2 linked regions of the Lonchura striata genome follow. The protein of the gene in region 1 binds, or shares a complex with, the protein of each later gene. Links are inferred from orthologs where the notes say so. Each region holds a gene or a part of one and is shown in the gene's direction. Other genes may lie near its edges. The genes, in order: NUDT21 and CPSF7.

Region 1 (15,094 bases):
TAGCCTCACTGTCTTCCTTCCCAATTCCACAGAGTTGTGCAGCTGGAAAAACCTCATATTTCCCATGGTGGCTCCTTTATTTTTGTCTTAGGAACACAGTTAAGCCCCAGAAAATGTCTTGGGCATTTTCTAACAAAACTTGTCTGACCAGTGTATGAAAAAACTGACACGTTTCCTTTTTTTTTTTTTAATAAAATCAGTCAGCAGCTTGGGGCAATGGACAGTTGTAATTCTCACTCTGATGGGTCAGAGATGCCACTGTGCTGCTCCCATGAGAAAACAGCTGGCAAGTTGTGTGACAACCACAGAGCCTTAAAAGCCGTTGAGAGTGTGTTACAATGGACACAGGATAAGTCTGATTTTCCTTTTTTGCAGTTAAAAAAACCACCTGCCCCCCCCCCCCCCCCTCCATTAAGCAGTGTGATTGAATTGCATGAGCAAAGTTTGTCAGCTTAATGTCTGGGTAGGAACCTGTCCACCACCCACTACTCTTCTCTGTGACAGTGGTCATACTACACCATCACTCATAATAGACGAAGGAAAAATCCCAAAATCCTGTTCTGTTTGGATGCTTGTTCAGGCGTGCCAAGCTTCGATGGTTGATGTATTTCACAAACTTCATAGTTTCTTTGTCTCTATAAACTAAGGCCAAGCAGTTCTCCTCTGGATTCACTGTCAACAGCTAGGGAATACAAAGATAAGGAAGTAAATCAATTTCACAAAAATAGCTTTAATAAAATTCTTCAGAAAAAACAAAACTGTTTCAAAAGTTAGTTAGAACAAAGGGTTGGTGTTAGAAAATGCACTGTGACACTATTTTCATTTTAATACCCTTTACCTGAAGCATTGTTATACATTAAGGGCTTCTAGTACTGATGCTGAATGGGATCCCAGTGAACAGCACTTCCCTGGGCAAGTGTTATCCCTGCTACAGCCTTGTGTCCCTTCCAGGCAGGCTTCCCAAACAGCCCCAGGTGCAGGTACCATGAGGCTCTCTCAGGGCCCAGGTCTCATGCTTTGTGTTAACAAAGCTCTGAGGCCAGAGCTTTGCCCACGAGCAGCGACTGGGGCAGGGAGGCTCCAGTGCGCAACTGAGCGCCCTCAGCACTATGCTGGCATTAAGACAAAGTGTAATTATGTCTCTCCACCCTATACAGTTTCATCTGATTTGCAGCTAGCTACTGAGGTCCTTACCTCTTCATCTTCACCTTTAGCAATGTAGGAAGTAAAGCCACCATATTCAGGATCCCACTCTTAAAATAGAAAAGAAACATTCTTAGAAACCACAGTGCTGTTCATGCTCCACACAGCCTTCCAGGAGATGCCATTTTTCACCTTGCTCTCCAAAGTTACTGGATACAGGGTAAGTATTTACCTCCTGCCAGTCTATTTGTTTTCTTCTGTTCAGAAACAACTTGAAGCAAGTGTACTGGATTTGCCTTTTATGGTAGATGAGCTATTTAAAGTTGCTTGGTGCACCGCTCCTCACCTGTAGAACAGTTCTACCCTAGCAGATATACCAAAGGATTTCAGTCAGCTGTACATTTTGGCCTCATCTGGTCTAAAATGCTTGTGGTTAATTTTTTTTTTTTTTTTTTTTGTTTTACCACTATCTAACTAGCAATCAACCCAAAATGCCTAGGTATGCCTAAAGTAACTTTTGAAAACGTTGACCTTTGTGAACTGGACGTGTAGTAATAATTCTGATGAGAAAAGGGTAGAACACTCCTGGTGGGTACTGTGGCCACCTGAGCCTGCAGCGCACCCAGAGCCATTGCTCAGCCTTTCCCCCTGTCCAAGCGCCACCTCCTGGCGCAAGCGGAAAGGCCAGAGATGATTCCAAGGCCACAATCCCAAACTTTTCCATGAGGACTACTGGAAACAGGGTTTATGCCGAAGTGAGGACTAAGACAAAGTCTACAGAAACCTTCTATGCAGGAAAAAGCAGGGAAATTTTGTGTGTTTTAGAACTGCTGACCACTCAGAAGTCATTCCTTTATGCAAGTCTTGTGAAAGGAGAGTCTGACATCTCTCTCTCATCCACTTACCTTCACAGCCACAAAAGAAGAGCAGATCAAGAGCAAATTCTGTGGCTTGAGAATCATGGACAAGAGTGTAGTGCCCGTGGGTCCAGCGTCGCAGCTCCCCCGCACACACAGGAGTTCCTGAGCCTAGGAGAGGGCACAAACACCCAAGGGAGAGCCATGAAGGCACATCAGCTGAGCTCAAAGCGTGTGAGGAGCTCAGTGATCTCACACCACTGTGAGATTTGCTCCATACATCCTTTGGTCCTGGTAACTGCTCTGATGGGATTTTTTAAGTAGGACTTGTTTTTATATTACCTTTTATTCCAGTGTCCACTAACTTGTCTTAGTGCAAGATGAGCATTTTCAAAAACTCTACCTTTAAACTTCAGAGCCACTCTTTTAAATAAACATCATCAATCAAAACCCAAAATTAATCTAATCTTTCATAGTTGTCACTGCTGACAACTAAATTCAACTAAGGTTGTTTAGGCTGATGGTGTTTTCTGAAAGGTTGAATCCTAGTTTTAGGTATCAATTTTCTAATTCTAAAATGGTTTTACTTCTGACCTGTTCACCTGTCTCTTTTGGATTTATTATCTCATACAAGAATATGCTTTATATGACGTAGGGGTACATGGATGTAGAAACCATGTAACTATTGACAGAAGATGAGCAGTCCCCCCAAAAGTCCCACCCTTAGGACTTAGGTCTGTTCAAAATGGCATCTTCAAATTATCATTGATTTACTCCAAATTCTTTTGCAATGGTCACTGATTTCAGATAATCAGTCTAAAAAGCTTCAAGTCCTATGTTTGTGCTGGTTGCACAAACAAGGTGAAACAAACTAGGTGAAGCACTAGTTCCATGAAAATCACTGGGAATTTTGTTTGAATCCTTTTTCACTGCTGCTGCTCTACTCACTGCTCTGAGTCTCGCCATCCTGTGCTTCAGGGGTGTTCTCAGGCTGGTGTGGCTGATGGGGATTGCCATTGGCTCGTTGTTCAGTCTCTTCCTGCTCAGATTTGGGACTGCTTTGCCCACTGGTGTCTGCTGCTTGTCCCTCCCCAGCATCTTCATCCTCATCAGAGGGAGCCAGGAAGTGCAGTTTTAGGCCAGTGAAGTTGGAAAGCAATAAAAATAAGGCCTCAGAGCGAAGTAGCTGCAGGAATTTCTTCAGGGTGTCAGGGAGGCTGTGTTCCTCTGCTGCCTCATAGAGTCTGAAAGACAGCAGATGTATCTCCTTGTGGGAGAGCCAACAAGGACCACATCTATAACAATAGCACTGACCAGTGCAGCCTCCTGGCAGCTCCTGCTCAGCACACTGGTGCAGCGTGCTGTCATTCCCCACCTTTTATTGGCTGGCCCTCGACTACTCCAGTGGATCTCTTTGTTCTCCAATGCTTCACATAGTAGTTGGTACTTCTCTTTCTAGGAGAAAGAGATGCAGAAATGTTAACATTTAGCTCCTAAGAAAACAAGGTTGAAGACAAGTGATCTATTTTTGCTGAGTCCTGATGCAGTGGTTTACAGGCAGTCAGAGGGGATAATTCCACAGAATCAGAGTGGTTTTTGGTTGGAAAGAGCCTCTGGAGGTCACCTGTCCATTTTTAGGTGTGAAACTTAGAAGGTGTTTTGTTTTAATGGATGTGCAAGGAAGTCCTCTCCCAGCCTTCGTGCCATGTAGTACCTGCCAGCCCTCTGACCAGTTCTGGCAGATCACATCAAATTCAACCACTGGGCTCACCTTAAGAAAGTCTTTCAGGAGAATTTCTGATCGCTCCTCAAATTCCTCCTGGATTTGAGCTTGGGAGTCCAGGTCCAAATAAACTTGATTGATCCACTCATACAATATTTCATGCTGGAAGGGAAATGGATTAGAACACTGAATTTTCAGAAGTGAAGAAGATTCCCTAATTCCTCCTACTGAGCTGGCCACAGAGCTGGATTCCTACACACAAACACACTCCATTGCTTTATTTCCTTGCACCACAGGTATTCACCACATTCTCTGAACTACTGTAGGTATGCAAAACATACAAAGATGCCTAAGAAAGAAACTGGATACAAATTTATCAACAGGAAATGAAAAGGAGAATGGGATAAAGATTAAAGCATCCCCAGTGCATTGATGCATTCCCCAACAGGTATTACAGGAACAGGACAGAGACAGAAATGCAGATATACTGTTACTCACATCATAGGGGATGTGTGGGCTTCTGGCCAAGGGGGCTTCAATGTGCCGTGCAGGTCTGGCCACAGGCGAGCCGTGGAACCAACCACTCACTGACAGGCGGCACTTCTGCGACACAACTTCTGACACCTGCAACAACGGCGGGCAGCACGTCACGGGTCAGACCAGGCGTAACCAGTGCCAAGCAAATTCATAACAGGAGATGGACTCTGCTCCAGAGAGCCCACTGCACACACAGGTATGTCAGACAGATTATCAGAGAGAGGCCTATTGTCCTGAAGTCCATTGCAGGTTTCCAGAATTCCAGTCTAAGCTTTTACTCCAAGTTCACAGAGAATGCATTCTCTCTCTTACTCTGGGAGATTTGAGTAATGGATTTTTAAGACAAAATTAAACCCAAGTAGATGCTGCTCTTAATTAACAACTGTAAGACATAAATGACACAAAAACAGACCCCTAAGTGGCCTATGTCAGGACATGCCCAACCTATATCACTGATCATCTTCCTCCCCAGCCTTCTGCTCTCTGGCCTTGTTTGATGTCCCTGGTACTCTCAGGTACACAGGAGTGTCAGATTTCAGTCAGGTGTTTGTGTCATGCAGCTCCCCAAATTATTCATCCTGTTCCCAGGCTTCTTCCCGACAAGTGTCACAGAGTATTCCTTAACTGTATCAGCATTTCTGCTGCAGGGTACTGCACCATGTCTGTGCCACTGAGGGTGTACAGCCAGATCTGCAAAGTGCCCTTGCACTGTTGGCAAGGTGATGAATGGCCTGAGGAGCTCTTCTGGAGCAAAGTCATGACCACTACATCAAAAATGTGAGCTAGTTTAAAACAAGCTAACAAACAAGCGAGAGCTAAATTCAAAGCAGTGGCTTGCCACGATAGTAACACAAAATAGAAATGGAAATTTTTCTTTCACAGGATGATGCAGCTAGACTGATGGTTTAAAGTTGGCTTTGTTGGTTCTTGTCCTCCTTCAAGTCCTTGAAGCCCTTCTTTAGCACACAGCACTTAGCACAAGTATCCACTCTACCCACCATTCTTCTCTCTCCCCATCAGGACAGTAATAACACACAGAATGAATAACCACAACAATGAGGATTAAAAAGTTAACAAGAGAACGCTCCTTGCCTGATGGAAAGAGACTGGAGACACTTCAAAGAAAACCAGTGTGTTCCATGAAGGCACTAATGACTTGGTGATTTGCTGTGGCTGAAAGTGTTCTGAAGAAGAAAACATACTCTGGTTAAGAAAGGAACTGGGACTTCTCTCTGACAACATGATTCTGTGACTGGTGGGACACCTGGGTATAAGGCATGGAGCTCAGAGCAAGGGCTTGGTGAGGAATCAGTGCATCTCTGCATGGAGACAGGAAGACAGAGTTGGGGCTGTTCAGCTTGGAGAAGAGAAGGTTCTAGGGTAACCTAAAGCCTCTTCCAGTACCAAAAGGAGCTACCAAGAGTGCTGTAGAAGGAGTTAGGACAGACATGGCATGGAATAACAGAACAAGGGAGAATGGCTTGAAACAAAGGGTGTGTTTAGATCAGCTATTAGAAAGAAATTCTTCACTGTGAGCAGTGAGGCACTGGCACAGGTTGCCCAGAGAAAGTGTGGATGCCCCATCCTATAAATGCTCAGTGGGGTTTGTAGCATCCTGGTCTAGCAGACCATGTCCCTGCCTACAGCAGGCGGGCTGGAACAAGATGAGCTTTAAGATCTCTTCCAACCCAAACCATTCTGCGGTTCTGCTGCTGGAAAGGGAAGTTTTTGTCATCAGTCTGGAGTTCCAAGCACATTTACTGGCATCACTTCCATCTTGCCTCTACTCCTGACCCCTCCAAAAGTTTGTCTGCTGTTGCCTGTCTGCAAAGCCTATCCCTAAGGGGCACACTTTACATCAGCTTCTCCGAACAAAGGAGAAACTCCTTATTTCCCTTCTACTGTTTGGGGTGAGAGTTGCTGCAAGGGGCACATAAGCTTCATCTCCTTCATCTATCTGAGGCTGAGCTTGGAGCTTTTACCATCTGTGCTGTACAGATCCAATGTTCCCCCGTCACTTTTCTCCCAGGGTGGGACGAGGTATAGGATGAAAGCGATTCTCCGACCTTCCAGTTCATCATCGTGGCACAGCAAGACATCTGCAATTACACATGTTTTGCTGCTGTAGCATCTTTCCAGTACATGCATCATTCATGCCAACAACTGCTTCCCAGCTTTGTCCCCGCAAGGATACGACAAGAAAAAACATGTTCTTTCTAAGAACTACATTTTCACTCATTGGCATCAGCAGCCTGAAATCTGCAAGATTCACTTCTGTGGGACTGCACTGCAATTGACAGATCAGGCCACTCTGAAGGTACAGGCAGTTATACACCAGCAACAGTTGTTTCATCATTTGTACTTCATTTTCACAGTTTTGCTGTTGACAGCCTCTAGGACCCTCTGGAACTAGCATACAAGTAGGTGTTCTATAGACGTTTTGTTCCCTACACATACACAGAAGCTCTAGGGAAAGGATCACTTAGAGACTGACCAGTATATTCATATTTAGCACAGGATATGTCAATAGTTGGCTCCAGCACTATCTGGGTCACATCAGAAAGCCACACTTGGAATTCTTCACACAGTGCATGCCTGAGAAAATAAGCACACAGTAAGTGTCCTATGTTATAAAACATATAATCATAGACTAAATTAATGTATTGCCTCCCTGCTAACTGTTTAAATGGTTACAGGTGCTGTTGCTGTGAGTGACAGTGTGTTTCTGTAGGATCACACTGGCCAAGAAAACAGCCCCGTGCTCACAGCACTGCTGGCAATAATCAGCAGCAAACATGCAACCAGTGGGAAGGTGCACTGTGAAGCTTGTCAGAGGTGACAGCTGCAGGAGAGCTGAATATGGATGAAAGCTGAATAGACTTCATTGCCCATGACAAGCACAGAGCAGATCCAGCTCTCCACAGCCGGTTTTTGGCCCGAGTATGGGGGCAGAAGGCGGCCCACCCCGCTTTCGCTGTGGAGCCAGCACGGCTCTCCCCCCACCCTGAGCGGGCAAAGCCCCGAGCCCGCGCTTCACCTCAGGGCAGCGACGTGGGGCTCCGGGCTTGCCCCCAGCTCCTCGGACTGCGCGGCCCATGGAAGAGAAGGGACGGGGTTAGCGTGGCTCGGCCCGGCCCAGCCCGGCCCGGCTCAGCCCGGCCCCGGGCCCACCTGCCGCAGCGACAGGAGGTCGTTCCGCCGCCCGCGGAAGCCGAGGCCCAGCAGTTCATCCCGCAGCGCCTCCGCGAAAGCCGGGTCCGCCAGGAAACCGGGAATGACACCGTGCCGGAACGGGGCCGGCTCCAGCACCACCGCTTCTGCAAGGGAAAGGCCGTCGGTGAGGGGCGGGGAGCCGGGCCGGGCTGTACCGTGCCGGAGCCGCTCCCCGCGGGCCCGGCCGGACCGTGCCGTGCTGTACCGTACCGTGCCGGAGCGGCTCCCCGCGGGCCCGGCCGGACCGTGCCGGAGCCGCTCCCCGCGGGCCCGGCCGGACCGTGCCGTGCTGTACCGTACCGTGCCGGAGCCGCTCCCCGCGGCCCGGCCGGACCGTGCCGTGCTGTACCGTACCGTGCCGGAGCCGCTCCCCGCGGGCCCAGGCCGCCCCCGCGCGCTCCCGCAGCGCCGCGTCCCCGAGGGCCGCGCTCAGCTCCGCGCGCGCCTCGCGCCTCCCGCGCTTGGCCGCCGCCGGCGCCGCCGCTCCGTGACGCTTGGCGGCCATGGTACCGTCCGGCCGGACTACAACTCCCTGCGGCCCCCGCGCTTCGCCAGCGATGGCCAATCGTATCGTGCGGGGAGCCGTTGGCCAATGAGCGGGAGGGGCGGGGCCGGCGCGGCGGGTCCCAGCAGGCGGCGCGGCGCTGAGGGCTGGGCGGGCGTTAATGGCGGACGGCGCTCCCGCCGCCCAGAAGTGATTGAGCGCTCCCGCCGCCTGTTCCCGTCGCTTCTCGCCATGTCCGTGGTGCCGCCCAACCGCTCTCAGACCGGCTGGCCCCGCGGGGTGAACCAGTTCGGGAACAAGTACATCCAGCAGACGAAGCCGCTCACGCTGGAAAGGACCATCAACCTGTGAGCGCCGCCTCGGGCCTGTCCGGCTCTGCCCCCGCCGTCCCGCCCCGCTGGCGAGCTCATCCCCGCTCCCTCGGCAGGCTCGGCGGGATTTTCCTTCCGATTCCGCCGTGCGAGGTCCGGAGGGTCCTGGCCCTTCGGAGGGCTGGGGCACAGCGGTGGCAGAGCCCGAGTGCCGATGGGGCCCGCCCCCCTCACAGGGGCTGCTGAGCCGCGCTGAGGGTACCGAGGGCTTGCCGGCCTTCGTGGGAATGTGGAGGATTTGGTGTAAATGTTTTAGTGCTTAGAAGTAGCGTCTGGCTCGGGAGTTGTGAACCCCAAGTAACACAGGAAAGGTCTAGGTGTGGTGAGCATCACAGACGTTTTCTTGCTCTCACAGGCATCCGGAAAGACGGCAGAGAGAGACAGGGTCTTAGCCTCGCTGGGGTTTGAGCTGATCCTGGGCAGTCAGTGGGATGTGGCTGGATGTGCCTGGTGATTGTGGATTATCTGGCACAGGTGTTGGAGATAAAATTCGGAGTGTTTCCTACCACAGAAATTTGTAATAGAGACAAACTACTTACTAATAAGTATTAATGTATTTTTTATGAGAAGTCATATATTTTTGCTTCTTCCAGTAAATCTGGTGGATTTGGGACGTGTTCTTTGCTATGTGCATATATCAAATTGCAAAAACCAGCAAATGGTAGCTGTAACAGTCAATATTTAATTTTAGCTATTAATCACTGACACTTTTGTGTTTTTTTGTGTAGCTGAGTTTATTCACAGAGTCATGTGGAAGTTCAAATATGAACTTCAGAAACTGCAATATTTCTATCGGGTTTCTGAAGCAAAGACTCATAATGAAGCTGTGTTACCAGCAGCATTTTTTTTAAGTTGAAGCTGAGGGTTTTGATGTACAGACTAATGCATCCACATTAGTATAGTATGGGTTAGCTTAATAGGTTATTATTAAAGTAATTTGTGTATCTAAGAATGGAAATGAAGAGAGAAAGAAATGTAGATGGTTTTAGACTATAAGTAAAAGTGGGGGAGCTTGTTAGTAAATGAACCTGTGGTTTGGAAGCTAGTTGTTTTGTCTACATGAGAAAAGGCTCCAACAATGGTAACTGGCTTGTTATTTTAACCACTGTAAAACATTAGGAAAATTGGAGGAAGAGGAGGGCTGGAATTTGAGGAGAGAAGAGCGTATGCTACTAAAGTTTGACATGTCTGGGGAAGGAATCCATGCCAAGAAGCATCTCAAGGAAAACATAAGACAGTCATTCATTCTGTTAATTCCATTGCTGTGTGCCACAAGTCAGTAAAACCATGGTGATAACTCATCGCTGCTCTGCCCAGAACCATTTTCTTCTCCCTTTTGACTTAGCTGGGTGATTCTGTCTTTCCTCCAGGCCTCCTGCCACCAGACCTCTCTGTTAAATGGATTTAATTGTACAATAGCACTCCCCTGTTGCCCTCTTGCTGTCTTGGGCTGACCCATTTCTTGCCTAACCTTTCCTTTCTTTGTTTTCAGAAATCGACAAGTTTCCACTGCACTGTTACAGGAGTGCAGGCACCCAGCACCAGCCCAACAGAGGGATCTGCTCACACTCTTGATCCTACCCTAGGTTCCCAACCCTGTACTCAGAAACTCAGCATGTCTCCTCTTCTGTGATCCACATGTCTGATTTCCCACTTCAAAACAAAACCACTTCTAACAGTTTAGTTCTCAGGCTTCATTATATCTGCAGAAGAAAACCTGCAGTCCTGTGCAGCTTCCTTCCTTCCCAGGAGAGCTTTTTCTCCAGTCTCTTTTCCAGCTCCTAGCAGAGTTTCACCTGCCTTTTCCCTGCAGCATGGAGATCAAAGAGGGTGGCTGTTGAACAACAGTTGGTTCTGTGCTTCTTTTCCTTCTTTTGAGCCTACACCAGGCTAGAGTGCAGCTCAACAGGACTGTCTGTGCTTATTTGTTCTATAGTGCAGATCTCCCTGGGACAGGGGCCTCATAAGCCACCAACAAAGATTTTTAGCCCTGCACTATGACTTTACCCATCAAGCAGTGAAGGATCTGTCTCAGGGTAGATGCTGTGTCATGGTGATTTAAAGTTAGATTTCTTGTTACGCAGTAACATTTTTTCTCCTTACAGGTATCCTCTGACGAATTACACGTTTGGTACAAAGGAGCCTCTGTATGAGAAGGACAGTTCCGTGGCAGCTCGGTTTCAGCGCATGAGAGAAGAGTTTGACAAGATTGGCATGAGGCGGACAGTGGAAGGAGTTCTGATTGTGCATGAGCACAGGCTGCCCCATGTGCTGTTACTGCAGCTGGGTACAACTTTTTTCAAGCTGTAAGTGTCTGTTTCCTAAGTGTAACTGCAGTTTATTGTCACAAACCAGTAAATGTGGGCTAGAGGTTAAAAGACATAGTTGGAAAGTATTTTTTGAATGGTGTGGTTTCAATCTAAAGTGTGTTTGACTCTGCTTGTGAGGGGGATGATTTAGTTTGGAACTGACTGGGAATCTTAGTTACAGTGCATCACTACAGTAAAATCTTGTTTAAAAATCATTACCAGCACTTGATGTGTTGTACTTGCATTGTGAAAGCTGCAATGCTTCAGTCGCTTATGCTGTGCCTGTAAAAATGGGCAAGTGGAGGCCAAGGACTAACCCCCTGTAAATGCAGAATGATACCTGCTTACAAACTAATAGCTGAGCTGGGATAGCAAGAAAGGTAGGCATCTAAATCTGAGAAAATTGCTTCAGTTCATCTCATAGTTATCACAGCCAGACTGAAGTTCTAGTGATTGCATACAGATGTAGTGATGGTGGTGATTTTATTTTTTATACTAGATGGCCTTGACTTGTCTCATGTTACCATGCTTGTGTTCTTGTTCTTCTGTTTTAACATTTTAGATTGTTCTCAATTTTGTGTGTATGTTAAGTAATTTAACTAATCTAGATTAGTTTTTGGCATCTTGATTTGAAGGGCTGTTGCAGACTAGACAAGAATGTAAACAATTTGCAAAATGCTGTAATGATGAAAATTAATAATCCTGCATAATTTTCCCACATGAGTTTTATTTTCTGCTTTCTCTATGCTTCAGTTAGTGCTGGCTTTGTGATAAGAACAAATACAGGCAGTATTTACAGCCCTTCAGCTTCTGGTTATTATTATTAAAACTTTACCCTATAAGGGACTGAGTTTTTATCATGTGTATTGTTATAGTTTGTCCTGCTGAACTGAAAGTATTTTATGTAATGGTTATTTTTTATGGGATGTAAATAGCCATTTTAATTTCAGTTGAGGTGAAAGCTATGCTGCTGTCTTTCAATTCAGCAAAACTAGATCTCTAACTCCTAACTTAAGAGCCATAAGCCTGGAAGCACACTGGAACTTGGCTGTGAAGATTGGTAAATGCAATAAAATAACTTTGACTTTCATCATTGATTATTTTAACAGACCTGGTGGTGAACTCAATCCAGGAGAAGATGAGGTGGAAGGGCTCAAACGCTTAATGACAGAGGTCTGTTTTCTGTCATTATATTGCTGTAGGAGAATGTTGCATTATTTTAGAATTACCAGAATAAGATAAAGATTAGAGTAGTCTTCTTACCATTGTTGTTATTTTGTTGCTTTTGTGATGTTCTCAGGTAGTTAACAAATAAAGCAGTCAAGTTTTCATTTATCTGCATCATGAGTGTGGCTGACTCCTACCTGCTGCTCAAGTCCTGTGTTCATTTGCAGCTTTGCTTTCTGACTGGCTTCAGGCAAGTGAGTGTAGAGATGAGCAATAAAATATATTGTGGAGGACAGCTGTTGGGGACTTGCCTTTGAGATAGTCCTCTCAATGCACCATTTTCTCCAAGTAGCTAAATTAATTCTGCTAGCTAATGTAACAATGTATTGCATTCTTCCAATTGGTCTGATAGGACTCAGTCCAGCTGAGTACAGCATAGATTTTTGAAAAGCTTTCTAGAGTGTCCTGGTCTTACCAGGTGAAGCTTTTACTGAAAAATCTCACTTTATATAAAAATACTCTACAGTTCTATTGAAAGCTGTCTCAGAGCAGTTATGAACTACATCAGACATATATTGCAGTAAGTCTTTCTGTTTCTAGTATGTGTTTAATAAAAGAATTTCCTTGAGGTAGTTTGAGGTCTGATTAGTACTAGATTTTTGATAGATACTGGGTCGTCAGGATGGTGTTCAGCAAGACTGGGTGATTGATGACTGCATTGGCAACTGGTGGAGACCAAACTTTGAACCTCCACAGGTGAGTACTCCCGTGGGCTTCCATCTTCTTTGGTCAAGTTCTGTCTGTACTTCTAAAAGCCTTCAACCTTCCAGATGGGCTTCTTGAGTACCTGCTGCATGAGCAATTTGTTTTTCTGGGTTTTGTCTATTTCATCTCCTTTCTATGACTGAAGAGAAACTACAGCCTTTTTTTTTAATGGAAATTCCTGTCTTCCTTCTCACACCTGTCCTGATGGATGAGAAACCACTAGATGTAGTAGCTTCCAGTTCTACATTGAGACATATGCACCATTTATATTCCTTTTGTAGCCACAATGGAGATTCTTGTACTGCTGCTTGTGGAACATGCCCTAGTCTCACTACCCTATTTCTAAGGGCTTTAATATTGAAAATCTTTGTTTAGTTTGCTTAGTTTGCTTTTATGCATTTCTGTTTTATTGGGTTGTTTTAACTGCTTATGATATTGATGCCACTTTAGAGCCTGTCAATAGTTGTGACAGCAACAGCATTCCTTTCCTAAGTACTTTCTTATGAAAATGGTTTTATTTGATGCCATGAAAGAATAATATATGACACACTGAAAACTTGTACAGGGCTTGATAATTTATAAAGTAGCATTTAAGATTACATAGTATTTTCAAAGCTCTGTACAACTGTTTTTTACCATTTTTCTTCTAGTATCCATATATCCCAGCTCATATTACAAAGCCAAAAGAACACAAAAAGCTATTTTTGGTCCAGCTTCAAGAAAAGGGTAAGTGTTTGTTTGGATCAAAGGGTTGTATTTGTAACAATATTTAAATGCCTGCATTTCACTCAAGGAACACAAAGTTGTGATTGTGTATGTTGTGGTATGTTATACCAAGATGTGTATGCTTGCAGTTGTTTGTGGTTGATCACTAACAAAGTTAAATGCTGGTATTTGTTTTGAAGGTAGATGATCCTTTGAACATGACTTCCTAGTAAATTTTTATTCCTGCTTGCATCAGTCTGTGTACAGGATGTGAATCCCATATTTAACTAAAAAAGCAATAAACCTGGTTGAGTGCTCTATGTAGTGAACTTGTTTTGAGGTCTGTGGGGAATGATGATCCCTTGGCTGAATGTGTGCTGGTTTTTTTGATTCATCAACTTGTATTTGTTTTTAGCTTTGTTTGCAGTCCCCAAAAATTACAAGCTGGTTGCTGCACCACTGTTTGAGCTCTATGACAACGCACCAGGATATGGACCTATTATTTCCAGCCTTCCTCAACTTTTGAGCAGGTATGTTGTATTTGTATAGTGGCTCTGGGAACATGGTTTCCTGTGGGACACCAGAGCAAAGCAAGGTGCTACAGAAACCAACTTGAAAAGGTGGCATCTATCCCAAAGATTCTGCTTCAGATGAACTGCATGGACACTTTTGAGGCACTGATCACAACTGGCTAGCACCAAAGTCCTACCTAGCAGCTGTAGTTAAGGAACACATGGAAGATGTGAGGATGAGGCTGTGCACAGACTGAGGAGCAGCTTCTTGTAGTTGTTGGAGACAGCTGGAGAGTTAAAGCCAGGATGTAAATTTGAAGCACTGAGTTAGGTATGCATATTATCACAGCTTTGTGCTGGTTAAATGTGGTGGGTTTTTTTACACTCTTTAGTAGAGCTAATGAAGTGTAGCATCTTTATGACACAAATATCTGTAGGGACAGCTGTATTTTTTCCTTTCTCTTGGAATGTATACCATGCTTTGACTTTATTACCTGGGAATGGCTGTGGCTTGTCTCTCCAGAGCTCACTGGTCTCTTACTTGAGAGCATGTTCAGGCATACTAGGAGTCCCACAGCCTGCCAGCTCTTCCTCAGGGAAGTAGTTCTGTCACCTACCTACTATGATGAAAAAAGTATGTTAGCACTGGTCTTGCACATAATCTTATTTCCTGCTGAGTATTTTTCTCTCTAGCCCAAATTTTGGCTTCCCCTCCTCTAAAGACAGCAGGTATTTCCTCTTGAGTACCAGCCAAACTGTCATGCAGGTTGGGTAGTGGTGCAACAGACACATGCAAAGGCTGGGCACCTGGAAGCTGAGATGGATTGCTTGCTTCCACAGTTATTTATGAAACTTAGCTGGGAAAAATTCTCTCTTCAGTATGTTTGTGTGTTCCCCTTGGAACATGTAAGGTTGGTCTAGTAGCAGAAGTGCTGCAAAAGAGTTGCTGATGGAGGAATGTAACTCTCACTGTGATTTATGTATCTGTGACCTTGTTTTAGGACATGAAATGTTAATAGTTAGTTCTTCTCAAACCATAAGAGACAGTTGTGCAATGCTAGTGTAGGATTGGCTGTTAAAAATGATATATATACTGCTATACTGTAAAGCTGTCTTATGAAAAAATGTACTTTTGTCCTGTCAGGTGGAGGCTTATCCAGAGCAAAAACAAAACATTTGCTTATTCATTCAAAAATGCCCTTAAAAAAAAGAATCAAAATTCCTCACTTGGTATAATCCTTTTAATTTTAGGTTCAACTTTATTTACAACTGAGTTCCTATATACCT
Region 2 (15,667 bases), on another chromosome or scaffold:
TGTTAAATAATTCACAGAATGCTGGTCTTGAATAAATAAATGAAACTTCAGACAGAGGGATGGCAGGACGGCCATCCGTGTTCTCCCTGCCCAGGATAAGATCCCTCTGGATCCACCCTTCAGGCCCCGGGGTGCAGTGTTGGAGGTGGCAGCAGGGGACAACACTGTCCCCTTGCCACCTGCACCCTGGTGGAGAGGAGGTGGCTGCTGCCTATCCCCGCTCCACCTCCAGCTGAGCCAAACCTGGGGAATTTTGGCATTCCCAAGCTGCCGATGGCATTGGTGCCACCAATCCTGGCTCTGCCTGGGCTCTTACACCAACACCGGGCTCCTTTCATCCTCCCAGATCCTTGAAAGCGCAGCGAGCCCGGCGCTCCTGTTGCACGGATCCGCAGCGATTCCCAGTCCCGTTGCCTTGTGCTGGCAGGCAGCGGGAGCAGATGGAAATAGCAGCGTGATCCCAGCTGCGGAGAGGCCACAAATCGTCGCACGCGGGGCCGGGAGAGGAGGCAGGGATATATATATAGGGACAGACGTATGGATGATGCACTGCCGGCAGCGGGGACTCGCCGGTGCCAGCGGCCCCAAAATACTCGAGCGGAGCCGGAATCTGTCAGATTCCCACTGACTGCGGCAGCTCCTGGTCCTGGTGTCACCACCATCGTCACCGGTGCCTGGATCCCAACCCAGCTCCTTGGGAAAAGCTGGGCGGTGAGAAAAGGCTGCAGAGAGGGAGGATCCCCCCTTATCCCATGTGTCAGAGCTCCTGGATCTGGTCCTGGCCATGGGGACAGGCTGGTGGCATCCAAAGCCACCTGCATCACAATTCCTGCCGAACGAGTGGGCTGGCATGGAGCTGGTGGCATCAGATCTTGCCTACATCAGGAGTTTGGAATGCTGAGGGTCTCTGCCAGGGTCAGCACCCTCAGGATCATGGATGATTCCTTGCTAATTGGCAGCAGTGTCTTCCCAGATAAAGCAGCAGCACCCTGGATCGATGGCATGAAGGGGTGGGAGACACCCAGAATTCCAGGAGCATGTTCCTGGGATGTCGTGGGATCCTGGATTGCTCTGCCCTACAGTGACGGGTACCTGAGTGGGCAAAGGGATCAACAACCTGTACCTATTGGGAAGATCTGATTCAAAGCTCCTGCTAAGCCCCAAATCCCTGAAATTACCCCGGAGGAGCTGGCACTGACAGCTCCTGCACATCCCGCAGCTGAGGAAGCTCCATGTGTCCAAAATAGCCGTGGTTCCTGCTGCGGAATAGGAAGCGGAGGGAAAAACCGGCAGCATCCGCCCTGCCAGTGCCGGAGCGGATGTGGCCGGAGTTCTGGCTGCCTCCCAGCCCCAAACCCAAATCCATGGCCTTTAAAAGCGGATGTGTGGTTTGAAACCTCCAATGAATGAGCTTCAGACCTCGGATCCCCAAGCTTTCCACCACACGGGCTCAGCTCGGGGATGGGCGGAGGGAATCAGGATTCCTTGGATGTCCAAAATAAGAGGAGCTGGTGGTTGCACACCAGGATATGTCACTTGGTTTTAGGGGATCCCAAATAAACCCTTCCCTGAGGCTGGTCCCCACCACTATTCTCTCACAACAAATTCCTCGGATTTGTGCTTTTTATTGCTTGTGTTTGGTCCAAGAGGCACTTGGAGAGAGGAAGAGGAAGGATAAGGTGTCAACCCTGGATCTGGTGTCTGTTTTGGGACAGACAGTGCCAGGGATGAGCCTCCTCTTCCCACAGAGGCAAAACCCTGTTCTGGTTGGAGACAGGCAGTGCTTCAACCCAGGTGGAATTTCCAAACCTGATGGTCAGGAGGAACCTGGTGGAAAATCTCTCCCCCAGCTCAGTTCCAGCAGCAGGATGGGGTTCTCAGGGTCTGTGCCCTTGTTCCCAGACCTTGGAGCTCTCCAGGATGATGGGATCAATGGAATGGATGCAACCAGCAGTGCTTTTTCCTGTGCTGCCCATTGGGATAGGAGTAAAGGATTTTCAGAGGTGGAGGAGTAGAAATGTTCCCATTCTTGTGGGGTGGCAGTGGGGGATCACCCTTAAGGGTAGGGGGTTGTATCCCAATCCAAGACATCCTGGAGTAGGTGGGATGCTCTCAGGTGAGATAACCATTAGGATCGATGAGCCCTGTTGATCCAGCACAAAACACTGCTGCCCCAACTGGATAAGGCTGATCCTTAGACCCTTGTTTTTCCTTTGTGGAGGCTGTGAACTTCCTCCTTTCTCAGCCCTAGATGGGAATTCCTTGGAAGACAGATGGAGGCTCTGCACCCCTTGAGGGGGACAGCAGCTCACGTTTCCTCAGGAGATCCCGTCAGGGCTGCAAATTCCCCCTCCCCATCCTCCGGCCCATCCTCGGGGGATACCGGGGCGGCCTCGGTGCCCTCCTCCTCCTCCTCCTGGCGCTGCAGGCTCTGCAGCCGCTCCTGCCGCGCTTCCATGTATTCCTGCGCCCCGTCCCCCACCAGCTGCACTTCATCCCCGACGCAGGGCGGCTGCCGGACGGGATTGTGGTCGTAGGACAGGAGGCGCAGGGAAGCGAGGCCGGTGAGGTCCGGGAAGCTGGCGATGCGGTTGCGATCCAGGTCGAGGACGCGGATGTGATCCATGCGCAGCAGCACGGGCGGGAACTCCTGGAAGCGGTTCCCGTAGAGCCAGAGCCCCCGCAGGCCGGCCATGCGGGGCAGCGCCGCGGGCAGCCGGCTCAGCCGGTTGTCCCCCAGCTGGAGGCTGCGCAGCTCCGGCAGCTGCAGGAGAGCGCGGGGGAAGTGCGCCAAGAAGTTTCCCTCGATCCAGAGGCAGCGCAGGCTCTGGAGCTGGGCGAAGGAGGGCGGCAGCCCCTGCAGCCCGTTGCGGCCCAGGTACAGGTGCGCCAGGTGGGGCAGGTCGCACACGGCCTCGGGCACCTCCATCAGCTCGTTGCCGTCCAGAGCGAGGGTCCGCAGGTGCTGCAGCTCCGCCAGCTCGTCCGGGACCTCCCGCAGCCCCGCGTCGCTCAGGTAGAGCTTCCGCAGCCCCTGCTGAGCCCACAGCTCGGCCGGGACCTGCCGGCCCCGCACCTCCAGCCGCTGCTCGACGCCGTCGGGGCCCTCGGCTGCCGCCAGCCGAGCCCCACGCCCCGCGGAGCCGCCGCTGCCCATCGCTCACCGGGACCGGCACCGGGACCGGCACCGGGACCTGCACCGGACCCGGCGGGGGGAGGGCGACGCCGTAGCCATGGCAACGCGCCGCGGCCAATGGGAGCCCGCGTCGCTGGGCGGAGGCCACGCCCCCTGCCCATTCATGCCCCGCCCCGCCGTTCGCGCCCGTTTAGGCCACGCCCCCTGGTCATTCACGCCCCGCCCCGCCGTTCGCGCCCATTTAGGCCACGCCCCTGCCCATTCATGCCCCGCCCCGCCGTTCGCGCCCGTTTAGGCCACGCCCCCTGCCCATTCACGCCCCGCCCCGCCGTTCGCGCCCGTTTAGGCCACGCCCACGGGGTCCATTCACGCCCCGCCCCGCCGTTCTCACGCCTACCCGGCCCCGTTCCTGTCCCGCTTGTCCCGGCTCTGTCCCCAAACCAGGCAGAATTCCCTCGCACCCCAGCATTCCCAGCCCCTCTTCCAGCAGCTTGGCATCAGCGCCCTCAGCCTGAACTGGGTGTGAGGCTCTAAACTGAGTGTGGGGTCCCTGGGCTGGGTGGGAATCCACAGCTCCCTGAGCTGTGTGTGGATGCCTTGACGGGGTGGGGGTCCTTGAACTGGTGTACAATCCCTCTGTGATTCCTCAGATCCCCTGGGACCCTGCCGGGAGCCACTCCTTAGGGCACAGATCCCCTTCCCCATGGCCAGGGAAGATATGGATGAAGCCTCTCCAAGTGCCCCCCGTGCCATGGCTGCCCACCCTGCGGGGTCCTTCATCCTCCTCATCCTCCTGCTTCCCACCATAGCCCTGCCTGGATTTTCCTGCCGCAAATCAGCTGTGTCATCCCAAAGCCGGCTGGGAAAGCTGGAAAGCCGAGCTCCTACAGCCCTCCAGCGGCAGCTGGCCAGGTGACAGCCCCCAACCACCCAAACCCCTCCTGCCAGGTTTTGGGATGCAGGAAACCCCCAAAATGGGCGAACAATTCAATGGCATTGCACAGGGTTTTTATTCCTCCTAGGGAGATTTGGGAAAAGCCGAGGATGGGACTCCCAGGATGCAGCAGCACTTTTGCAGGGGGTCACGTCAGGGGGTCATCGATGCGCCACAGGTTGGTGGGCTGGTTGTTGGTGCTGAAGCCACTGGGACTTGGGATCTGGATGCCCTCCACGGATCTCGGGGCCCAGGTGATTGGAGGCTGTGCCCACCAGCCTGGAAAATCCAGGAGGGATTGGTGAAGGGGGTGTCCACTCCTCTGGGGGCTGTGATCTCCCCCCCGACTCACCTGGTGCTACGGGGGCCAGCGGCGAGAGATTGGTCAGGTACTGGTTGTGGACAGTGCTGTATGCCAACGGCTCCTGAGGGATGCAGCGGGTTGGGAGCATGATTCCTTGGGAAAAGGGATGGGGACAGGGGACATGGCTGCACCCACCTTCCAGGTAGTGACTCCCTTGGGTCCCACTTGCAGCTCCGGCGGGGCGAAGGGGGCGGGATGGCCCATGGCAGGTTGGGGCTGTGTGGGAACACAGGGATGATCCTGCTCATTCCCGTGCCCAGGCAGCTGCCTCAGAGCCCACTGGGAGCAGTGGGAGCACCAGGACAGGACGTCCCCTGCCCTTGCCACCCTCTCCCTTTGCTTACAATGCTGCATTTGGCAGGAACGGAATCCATCCGACCATCACCAACATCAAGCTGTGGGAGAGGAAAAGTGTCCCCTGGGGTGCTGAGGGGTGGGGGGACAGGGGACATGATGGGCACGGGGCTCACGGGCTGCTCTGGCATGGTGAGGCCGCTCCTCTGGGTGGTCCCGGTGCAGCCCGACAGCTCCGTCGCCCTCGGTGGGACATCTGTGGGGAGCAGATGGAGCAGGGATGTCCCCTGTGTCCCCAGGCCTGGCATTACCTGGATACACCTGTCCCACTGTGTTTGGGGGGGAGCAGGGAGTCTCCAACACTCCCCAAACCTCCTGAGGTCTGACCTGACTCCAGGAACACTGACACCCCAAAATCCCTCGAGCTGGCTGTGGCTCTGGCACCATCAATAATCCCAAAACATTCCTGATGTTGGAGCTGGACCCGGAACCCTCAGGGCCCCAAATCCTCCTGTGGTTGGAGGTTTCCTAGGAATCCTAACACCCCAAAATCTTCATAAAGACAGAGCTTTCTCTGGGATCACCAAGACCCCAGAATCTCCTGGGAATGAAGCTTTCACCAGGATCTCAACACCCCAAAACCCTCCTACTAAGGCTGGAGCTTTCCCTGGGATTCCCAAGACCCCAGAATCATACCTGGCTTGGCAGGACTGGCGCAGTGGCTCTGGATGCCATATTCCCCAGATCTTTTTGGGGCTCTCACCTCCCCGAAACGGAGGCGGGAAAAGGAGAAGTCAGTAGGACACCGACACCCCGGCTCATGCACATGCTCGGGCAACATCCTTTGGTATTCCGGGCGCCCGAAGACCTTGAAGTCCTCGGAGGTGGTGGACACGTCCGTGTCCTGGCTGCGGTGGGAATGGCTGTGATGGAGTGATCCCAAAACGAGCCCCCCAGACTCCTGCAGCAGGGACCTACCGCTCCACGTGCGGGGAGATCAGGGGTCCCAGTGCCGAGTAGTTGTTGGTGACGTATCCCGAGCCGGTGTGGATGCCGAGGAGGGGGTGCATGCTCCTGTCACCGGGGGGCTCAATCCCCAAAACACGGCCCTTCTCCAACTTTTGGGGTGACCCTGTGGGCCTCTTCCCGAAGGCCACCTCGTAGGAGGTGATGTAGAAGCCCATGAGCTCAGAGGGGGGGCCCCCTCACCATGGGGAACCCCGTCCCCAACCCCGCGGCGGGCGAGTCCTGCGGCAGGGACGGCATCCTGGCTCTGGGAATGGACCCCTGGAGCTGGGAATGGCCCTACGCCATGGCTGGAGGTGTCTGGAGGTGTGGGGCCCTCCCAGCAGACCCGGAAGCTGTGGAATGTGCCCGTGGAATGCACTCTATCTCCCGGTAACCGTCGCGGGGACCTCCCGGGAGGTTGTCACTGGAGGGCAGGAGGTCGGACAACCTCCTGGGTGTCCTGGAGGGCACCAGGAATGCCCCACTCCAGCTCCACTACGGCCCCCACACGGGGTTGGGCTCACCTCCAGGGGGTCCTGGGAAAAGGGGCAGGTGGGAACTGGGAGTATCAATGAGGTGGCATGTGCCAGGATCGACCTGGGAATGTCCCCGAGGGCCTGACCCCAATGTCACAAAGCAGGAGAGGGGCAGGGCCAGCAGCCAGGCAAAGCCGGTAGCCAGGGCTTTATTCAGCATTCCACGAGTGTCCAAAGGCTGCTGGGAGAGGAGGAAAATCTCAGGGAAGGTGGAAACGCCATTCCAGAGCCCCATGTCCCTGCGCTACTCCAGGGAACGGGGACAGAGGCATCCCCTCCCTCAGCGTGGTGGCTCAAACAGGTATTCCAGGTCCGGCTGCCGGAGCCTCTGCTCCCTGTTCCTGTTTTTGGCAAATTCCCTCAGCATGGCCATCACATCGGTGTCGAACTCCGTTGGCGTGGGCTTCGCTTCTGGAGGGAAAACAGGGAAGAATCAGCCGTGTGCTGTCCCACGGCGCCATGCCGGTGTCCCGGGGCGTGGCCACACGTACCAGTGGCCCAGTAATAAATGTCCCAGTCGTTACTGGGCTCGTTGATGAGGCGGTCGTAGCGATTCAGCTGCTCCTCGCTCATGTGCGCCAGGTTTTCCTTGGCAAAGAGGCTGGAGAGGGGTGGATCAGGGTGAGCGGGAGATGAAGGAAGAGCTGGGATATAAGAACCAGCTCAATGTGAACCTGGAAAACACAGACCCCCAGCCCGCTCTCCCTCACCTCAGCGGGTGGGAAAACACCGTCAGAGGAGCTGTGGAATCTCCACCCCTGGAATCCCCTTATCCAGCCTGCTCTGGTGGAAGGTGTCCCTGCCCACAGCAGGGGGTGAAACTGGATGATCCTTAAGTCCCTTCCATCCCGAACCATTCCAGGATTCCATGGGCTTGTTCACATGAGATATTGGGAAGAGATTCTTTCCTTGAGAGGGTGGCGAGGCCCTGGAATGGACTTCCCAGAGAATCTGTGGCTACCTGGAAGTGTGTTGCCTACCCTGCAAGTGTCCAAGCCACGTTGGACAGGGCTTGAAGAAACCAGGAATAGTGTAAGGTGTCCTTGAGGTCCTTTCCCACTCAAATCATTCCAGAATTCCACAATTCTATGTGTCTAATCTCTCCTTCAATCCCAAAATCCAACTGACATTGCATTCACATGTCCCACAATTTACATACATCCTTCCCAAAGGACTTTGGCTCACTGAGCTCTCCCAGCTCTACTCCATCATTGCATCCTGGATCAGCAAGACCTTGGAGCAATTTATCCCAAGGATTTTTGCAGTACCTCCATGAACTCTGCCTTGTTAATGAAAGGACCTGGAATACTCAGAGCCAAGCCCACCTGAGTAAGATGCAGTTTTCCAGCATGCCCCTTTTCCTGCTCTCATACAGCAGCCGGGCTCTCTTGGTGTCCAGTGGCTCGTCCAGACGCTCCTGCCAGGGGGGCAGCGGGATCTCCAGCACATCCTTCCCGGAATCCGTGGGGGAATCCCCCCGGTAGCCGCGCTGCGGGATCAGCGGCCACAGGAGATGCCGGCGCAGGGAGCAGAGCTGGAGGGAAAGCACAGGGATATCAGGACTGGGTGTGCCTGCACACAGGGACCTCTCCAAATCCTACTGGACACGATTCCCAATCCCACACCCCCAAACCCCGCTGCCCAGACCCCATAAATCCCCCAGACCTCCCTTTTCCCCCCAGATCCCCTTTTGTCTCCTCAGACTCTTCTCCTTTTTTTCTCCCCTCTTCCCACAATACGCTAATTTTCCTCCCGTCCTACCCTTCTCCCAAACTCATCCCTTTTCCCCTACTTTTCCTTTCCCCTCTCTCTCCTTTTCCCCCCTTTCCCTCCCTTTTCCCCTTTCCCCTTTCTTTTCCCCCTTTCCCAACGTTTTTCCCCTCTCCTTCCCCTTCTACCCCCTATTTACCCTTTTCCTCCCATTTTAACCTGCTTTTTCCGCTCTCCCTCCGTTCTCTCCCTTTGTACCCCTCTCCCTTCCCTCAGCCCTCCCAGCTTCCCCCCCTTCCCCCCCACCCTGGCCGCCGCCATCTTGCCGCGCGCCGCCGTGGCCACGCCCCCTCGCGGCTCTATGGGGCGGGGCGTGCCGGAAGTGGGCGTGGCCCCGCCCGGAAGTGGGCGCGGCGGCGCTGGCGGTGAGCGCGGGCGGCGCGCGCGGGGCTGGGATCGGGGGAGGGGGGGGCCCCGGGCGGGGGGCGCGACCTATCGCGACATATCGCGACCCGCCGCCCCCTCCCCTCACATCCCTCTGCCCACAAACCCCCCGGCCCGGGCCCCGCCGCTCCGCAGGGCCGCATATGGCGGGGACGGGGCGGCGCGAAAAGGGGGGGGGGGGGCAGTGGGGGATCGTGGGGAGCACAGGGAATTTGGGGGGAATCGGGGATTTGGGGGGGAGACACGATATGCAGGGACAGAAGGATCTGAGGGAACACGGGGTTTGGAGGGAAATGGGATTTGGGGGGACACAGGGATTTAGGGGGAAGAGGGGATTTGAGAGGCAGGGCGGATTTAGGGGGTAGAAGGGATTTGGAGGGAAGACAGGATTTAGGGGGACACAGGGACTGGGGTGGGGAAATGGGATTTGGGGCACACGGGGATTTGGGGGGACGCCCCCAGCAGGTCCCCAAGGCCTCACTGACCCGCTGCCCCCCCCCTCCCCAGAGCACCCTCCGTGTCCTGGCTCCGCCCGGTCCCAGCCCGGGCTCCCGCTTTTCCCGCCTCTGGAAATATGTCCGAGGGAGTGGATCTGATTGACATCTACGCCGACGAGGAGTTCACCCAGGTGAGGGCTGGGATAGGGGGGAGATCCCCCCTTTCTTTTGGGAAGAGATCCCAGTGTCCTGCAGCTCATCCCAGTGGAAGATGCAACTGGTGTGGCTGGGAAAAGGGAAGGATCATTCCCGATCATTCCCAAGTCTCTGTGGTTGCCACCTCCAGCTGTGATTAAAGGGTTTCCCTGTGGCTTGTGACACGTGGCTGGTCACGGAATGTTTAGGATTTAAGAGCTTAGCTGTGTCCTGGTTGGAAAAATGAGAAATCCCAGCTGGAAGAGGCACTTCTAGGGAATTTCGCTGTGAGGGAATACCAGGAGCCAAATCCATGGGATCACCTAGGCTGGGAATCTGTGCAGGAGCTCGCTGTTCCTGTGCTGCTTGTCCCATCCCAGGAATATCTGGGATTCAGAGGAAATGATGAAGGAAAGGGATGTTGGAGAAGCAGATTTTAGGGAGTTCATGGTTATGGGAAAGCAAGTGCAAAGGCAGATGTTGGAAAATTCAAAACTGCCATGGAAAGCTTGTGGAAGCAAGAGAAGTCATGGAAACTGGAAGCAAAGCACCCAGAAGAAGGAATCACCATGGAGAAAGGAATTCCTGTGAACTCCTGGAGTGATCAAGAGAAGCTTCTTCTGGTTATTGGGTGAGAATATCCCATGGAATCTCCTGTGAAGACCAAGTGGACAGAGGATCCTCAAAGCTGGAATGATGATCCAGGCCAATGACTCTGGCATGTTCCTCCCTTTGGGATGTGTGTCAGGAGAACACCTGGAATTAATCCATGCCAGGATCAAAGCAGCAGGGAAGTACTGTGGTGTCCCTGGGGCACTCCAGAGATGCCAGTGTAATTCCAAATCCCACATTCCCACGTGGTGATTCCCACTAACAGTGCCCAGCTTCATCCCTGTGCACCTCAACTCAGTGTGCATGGATGGGGATCAGGAGAATCCCTAAAATCTCCCAAGCTGCATCCCATAAAAGTAGCAGAACTGAGGGATTCCAAGGGATTCTTTCTCTAGCCCCTCCTTCATATTTTTGGTCTTGACTTTCTGAAACTTCCAGGTGGGAATCTTCCAGCCTTGGGCTGTGTCCAAAGGCTCCTGGTGGAGGTGGGAGCGTGGGAGTTGGATTAACCAAACACTTGAGCTTCTCTGGGAAACGAACACAAAACTACAGCTCCCTTTTCAAGTCATTCTTTTATCAGCTCCAGGGAAAGAACTGGATGCAAAAGTTCAGGGAGAGGAAAAATGGTTGGATGTTTGGATTCCCGGGCTTCCACTATCCTTGGAAAGCTGCCTGCTGAGCATCCTTCTCTGTCCAGCTCCCAAGAGGATGTTTGCAATTCCCTGACCCTCAGACTGTCTCCAGCAAAAAATATTGTCTAAACTGCCTGGAATTGAAAATCTGGGAGCAGAACCTCTGGTTTTTATGGCACACCAGCTCCTGTGGGATGGATCCTCATGGAGTGATTTTGTGGGATGAAACATTTGGCACAATCTGAACAAGGAACTGGGATCCATAGTAAACACAGCACTTGCTGGACAATCCAAACAGTGGGAATTGGGAGGCAGATCTAGGACATGCTGGAATTCCCAGCTCTGAAACTTCCTGAGTTCCTCTGCCAAAGGGACAGATCCAATTTGTGGGAGCTCCTACCCTAAAAAGGGCTTTTTTCCCAAAAATAAGGAAGTTTGGGGGGCTGGGCATAGTTTGAGGGGGTTATGCAATTCCCAAGTTGGAGTTTTGGGAAGAATGTGTTGCCAAGGAGTGATAGGCTCAGCCCTGGAGGACATTTGGTTTTCCACCACTGAATTCTTGCCCTCCAAATTGGGAATTTCTTCCTGGTGGCAGCAATAGGGTCTTGTCCTGTTGTGTGGGATCCAAGCGGGCTGGTCTTTGGAATGTGCTGGAGCTCAGTGGGGGTTTAGATGAGATACTGGGAAGAATTTCTTCCCTGTGACGATGGTGAGACCCTGGAATAGATTTCCCAGGGAAACTGTGGCTGCTCCATCCCTGGAAGTGATCCAGGCCAGGTTGGACAGGGCTTGGAGCAACCTGGGATAGTGGAAGGTGTCCCATGGCAGGGGGTGGGATGGGATGATCCTTAAGGTTCTTATTCCAAACCCAACAATTCTAACCCCAAATTCTGTTTTCATGATTCCATGAAAACAGACATGAAAACAGAAGCATCATCCTGTTTTTTGGGATTGTCCAGGCAAGGGATGGCTGTAATTCCCAAGCGTGCACAGACCCAAACCAAGTGATTTGGGCCTTAAACCTTTGGACTCAGCTTGGAAATTCCACTTGGGAATTGGAACAGCAGGTTTGGAAAGAGCAAAGAAGGCTTCCCAAGCCAGGATCTCATGACGTTTTCCCAGCAGGACCCGGAGTTCAGTAATGCTGACCAGATGGATCTCTACGACGACGTGTTAGCAGCCAGCTCTCAGCCCCAGGAAAAGCGTTCCAGCAGCTCGGAAGCACCTCCGGAGATCCGTCAGGAGCCGTCTCCCAAGCCCAACAGCAAACCCCCAGCCATCCTGTACACCTACAGCGGGCTCCGGAACAAGAGGGCTGCAGTCTACATCGGGAGCTTCTCCTGGGTGAGTTCATCGTCCTGAGAAATTTGGGATTCCTGGTGAACCTCTGAGGGGCTGCTGGGCTCTCTAGGGAAGTGGCAGGGATTTTGAAGGGCCTGCTCCTCCTCAGTTTCAGCTGGTCTCCCGAGCTGGGCTTGGCTTTGTGATCCTCAGGGAAAAGGAATTTGTATCCCTGAGGAGCTTCTGGGCTGGGGTATGTGCTGATGTCCCTTTGAAGCTGTGACTTTGGGCTGCTGCTCCTGAGTCACCTTCTTCTGTTCAGGGATGCAGGAATGTTTTTGGGAAGGCTCTGTCTTGTCCAGAGAACTTGTTGCTGTTATCCATTCCCAAAGCTTGTTCCGGATGATTTTAAGGTCCCTGAGGAAGTCTGGGGGTGACATTCATCAGTTGGGTGGGGGATACTGGGGACAGACATGGATACCAGCCTGTTCCCTATGCCCTCAGTGGACTACTGACCAGCAGCTGATCCAGACCATCCGCTCCGTTGGAGTCTACGACGTGGTGGAGCTGAAATTCGCGGAGAACCGAGCCAATGGCCAATCCAAGGGGTAAGAGCCAGTGGAATTTCAGGTGGGAATGGCAGGAGCCAGGTCCTCATTGCCACATCCGTTGTTTTGTGGAGGGTGAGAGAGCAGCTGGTGCTTCTCTGGCCTGGCACAGGGAATTCATGGAGCATCCCAAAAAGCATGGAAAAGTGAGGAGGGGGTGTGGAACAGCAGGATGGGATCAGAAGGAGGGTCTGGGGGGTATCTCTGCAGCAGGTTCAAGGCTCAACCTCCCTCTCTCCCACGCAGGTACGCGGAGGTGGTGGTCGCCTCCGAGAACTCAGTCCATAAACTCCTGGAGCTGCTTCCCGGAAAGATCCTGAACGGAGACAAGGTGGAGGTGAGGCTGGCGACCCGGCAGAACCTGTCGCAGTTCGAGGCTCAGGCTCGCAAACGTGAGTGCGGCGCCGGTGAGGTGGGTGGGGGGTTCCATCTCACACACATCCCAAATTCCCCCCCGGATCAGCTGCCAGGCCCAGCCCAGCGAGCCCTCGGGATGGGGGGAGACCCTGCCAGGAGCGTCTGGGGGTTGTTTTTCCTATTCCTGAGCCGGATTAGCTCCTGACCCGAGTCTTTATGATCCCCTTTTAGGTGCTCCCACACTGCGAAGATCCCTCGTAGCCTCCTCCTCCTCCTCTCCAAACTGAATGGGCTTAAGCTCTTCAGGCTCTCAGCATAGCTAAGACCCTCCATATCTATTAGTAGCTCCTCTCTGGATCTGCTCCAGAATTTTTCCATCCCTGCGGAGGTAAGGTGCCCAACACTGGAGGAATATTCCAGCTGGGGCCTGGCCGTGGGCGTCCCTCAATGGCAATAGGTGGTCCTGGCCTCACTCCGCAGCGATGCGACGGGATCCGCAGGGATTGTCCTGGCAGGAGCGTGTCCGAGGAGGTCTTGGCCAGCTCTGGTCGTTGTAGATCCCTTGGCATGTTTTGTGCAAGGAAAACTCCCCCTTCCCAGCAGAGTTGCTTCGCTCCTTTCCTTTGGCTTAGGTGCCCGAGGGGATCGGCTGCTTGGTGCTTAGGCTGTGTCCCAACTTGCCCTGCAGTTTTGGTGGAGCAGGGAGTGTTCTCTGGGCCGAGTTCCGGCTGCCCCCAGGGGAGAATGGAGCTCCTGTGCACCCTTTGGCACTGCTGGGAGCCGTGGCTCCTGTCACACCCCTTCTTGTCTCATCCTCAAAGCCTCTTTGGATAGAACAAGGCTTCTTCACCCTCTTGGAATGCTGAGTTTTCCTTCCTCTAGCAGCAGCTCCGTTGCTGTCAGCACTTGGGTTCTGTCCCCTCGTGCTCCTCCATGCTTGGACCTCTCCAAATCCATGTGTGGATCTCAGGCTCTCCGGGTCTTTGGATGTCTTTGGGGATTTCTCACCATTCCTTGTTGCTTTTGGCTCCTGTCCCTGTGACCTGCCTGTCCCCAGGGCACTGTGTGGGGTCTTGCTGGAAAGCTGGGCTCCTCTTGGAAAAACACATGGAAGTGGAGGCTATGCGTGGCCGGCTGGATCTCTCTCTGGGCACCTCCAGCCCTCCAGGGGTGGGAGGAAGAGGAGGAGCAGGAGGTCTCGGAGACCCGGACACCCTCCAGCTGCACCTCACAGGCCTTTCCCCGTGCCACTTCCAGGTGTGCCGCCGCGGGCCCACTCCCGGGATTCCGTGGATGCGGTGGATGGCCGGGCGACGCCGACAGAGAACGCGCTGCCCCCTGCCCGCATGGAGAAGCCTCCCTCGGTCCTGCCCTTCTTCAGCCGCCCCCCCGCGCTGCCCCTCATGGGGCTACCCCCCCCTCCCATGCCCCCTCCGCCTCCCCTGTCCTCTGCTTTCGGAGTCCCTCCTCCTCCTCCTGGAATTCCCTACCAGCACCTGCTGCCGCCGCCGCCCCGGCTGCCCCCACCCCTGGCCGTGCCCCCGCCAGGGGCTGTGCCCCCTGCCCTGCACCTCAATCCCGCCTTCTTCCCACCACCCACCGCCGCCCTGGGACCCCCTCCGGACACCTACGGCAAGGCCATGGCTCCCTACAACCACAGCAGGTGAGCTGGGCGGGAATGGGGTTGGGATGCTCGGGGAGGATCCCGCTGAACCCCTGTTCCCGCTGTGCCGACAGCCGGGAGCTGGGCCCGCCGATCCCGGCCGTGAGCGAAGGCGAGTTTGAGGAGATCATGAACCGCAACCGCGCCATCTCCAGCAGCGCCATTTCCAAGGCGGTGTCCGGCGCCAGCGCAGGTACTTCCCGTGTCCCTCCTGTCCCCCATCCTGGGATGGATTCCCACGCCTGACCCCCTGCTCCGCTCCCCCAGGGGATTACAGCAATGCCATCGAGACTCTGCTCACAGCCATCGCTGTCATCAAGCAGTCACGCGTGGCCAGCGACGAGCGGTGCCGCGTCCTCCTCTCTTCCCTCAAGGATTGCCTGCATGGAATTGAGGCCAAATCCTACAGCAGCAGCTCCAGCAGCAGCTCCAGGTATCCCCCTGGATCCAGAGGACGGGATCCTCCCTGCAGGTGAGTGACTAAAAAAATCACTCCTTGGGTTTTGTCTCCTCTTTCCCCGAAGGAAAAGACACCGATCTCGGGAGCGCTCTCCCAGCCGGTCCCGCGAGAGCAGCCGGCGGCACCGGGATCTGCTCCACGGCGACGATCGGCACGAGGATTATTTCCAGGAGCGGAGCCGGGAGCATGAGCGGCATCGGGACAGGGACAGAGACAGGGACCGGCACCACTGAGACAGGTGGGAAGCTCAGGAATCCCCTTGAAGTGTGAAGGATGAGGGAAAGGCACTCCCACCATTCGTCTCATCTCTCCCAGCAGGAATTTGCAGGAAGTGGTTTTTAATGGACTCATATCTCCTCACCTCGACCAGGATGCCGTGCCCGAGGCTGCTCCGCCCCATCCCGGTCCCTTCCTCGCCACCGCAGCCCCCTCTAGGCGGGACCCCCGCCCACACCTCGTGGCCTTGGGAATCCCCCCCACCACTGCTGCTGCTTCCTGGGGCCATCCCACTCTGCTCCGTGGATACTCGGACCCAAAGAGAAATGGTGCTTTTATTCCATGGAGGGAGGTTTGTGAGCCCTTCCCAGTCCGGGGGGGAACGGAGGAGACGGAGCCCTCCCTGTGCAGCTTGGGGGCTTAGAGATGCACAGCTCCCGATCCTGGGATCAGGAGCCATGTGCCATCCTCTGGATTGTCTGGGGACACTCCCGTCCCCATCACCCTGGTGGGACACTGTGCCACGCTCCTTCTTTGCCCCTTCACCCTCCAGGAGCTGGGAAAAAGGGGCTGGAGGTGGGTTGGGGGTCATCCTGTCTATCCCGACATTCCCCACAGCAGCATTCCCACCCAAATGGCAGCTCCGGCCTCTCCCGCAGAGCCTTCCTTGTTTTAGAGGAAGCGGAAGAGGCAGGGCAGGCTGTGACCCCCTTGTGTCCCCTCAGAATCCCAAGAAGGAGAGGGAGGGAGAGCCCAGGAGGGTCGGGATGAGCCAGGACA

The links.
Region 2: the proteins of NUDT21 (region 1) and CPSF7 are in contact, whole or in part, in a crystal structure (PDB 3N9U), measured with the Homo sapiens proteins. The link is inferred for Lonchura striata from reciprocal best matches to the Homo sapiens genes NUDT21 and CPSF7. Residues at the interface, in NP_008937.1 of Homo sapiens: Arg68, Asn152, Glu154, Pro156, Tyr158, Tyr160, Pro162, Ala163, His164, Ile165, Thr166, Lys167; in NP_001129512.1 of Homo sapiens: Trp91, Trp92, Thr93, Thr94, Asp95, Gln96, Glu112, Lys114, Phe115, Glu117, Asn118, Arg119, Ala120, Asn121, Gly122, Gln123, Ser124.

The regions. Positions count from the first base shown.
Region 1 is NC_134615.1:15,561,420-15,576,513, reverse strand, and holds the start of NUDT21 (cleavage and polyadenylation specificity factor subunit 5), read left to right. Parts: upstream 1-8,096; 5' UTR 8,097-8,209; coding exon 8,210-8,325; intron 8,326-10,454; coding exon 10,455-10,655; intron 10,656-11,767; coding exon 11,768-11,831; intron 11,832-12,491; coding exon 12,492-12,581; intron 12,582-13,240; coding exon 13,241-13,316; intron 13,317-13,710; coding exon 13,711-13,825; intron 13,826-15,058; coding exon 15,059-15,080; 3' UTR 15,081-15,094. Other genes in the region: prolyl 3-hydroxylase OGFOD1, read right to left, coding at 521-682, 1,195-1,253, 2,049-2,171, 2,949-3,244, 3,376-3,455, 3,772-3,885, 4,222-4,347, 5,353-5,444 and 2 more. UniProt on the Homo sapiens protein: Component of the cleavage factor Im (CFIm) complex that functions as an activator of the pre-mRNA 3'-end cleavage and polyadenylation processing required for the maturation of pre-mRNA into functional mRNAs.
Region 2 is NC_134608.1:53,680,662-53,696,328, forward strand, and holds the start of CPSF7 (cleavage and polyadenylation specificity factor subunit 7), read left to right. Parts: upstream 1-8,374; 5' UTR 8,375-8,407; intron 8,408-8,933; 5' UTR 8,934-9,000; coding exon 9,001-9,054; intron 9,055-11,427; coding exon 11,428-11,646; intron 11,647-12,087; coding exon 12,088-12,191; intron 12,192-12,437; coding exon 12,438-12,583; intron 12,584-13,805; coding exon 13,806-14,211; intron 14,212-14,285; coding exon 14,286-14,404; intron 14,405-14,478; coding exon 14,479-14,644; intron 14,645-14,735; coding exon 14,736-14,904; 3' UTR 14,905-14,909; intron 14,910-14,989; exon of another isoform or gene 14,990-15,041; 3' UTR 15,042-15,667. Other genes in the region: LRRC10B (leucine-rich repeat-containing protein 10B), read right to left, coding at 2,309-3,157; uncharacterized protein LOC116183767, read right to left, coding at 4,232-4,495, 4,570-4,650, 4,779-4,984, 5,425-5,636, 5,707-5,912; SDHAF2 (succinate dehydrogenase assembly factor 2, mitochondrial), read right to left, coding at 6,553-6,683, 6,764-6,873, 7,598-7,806, 8,289-8,303.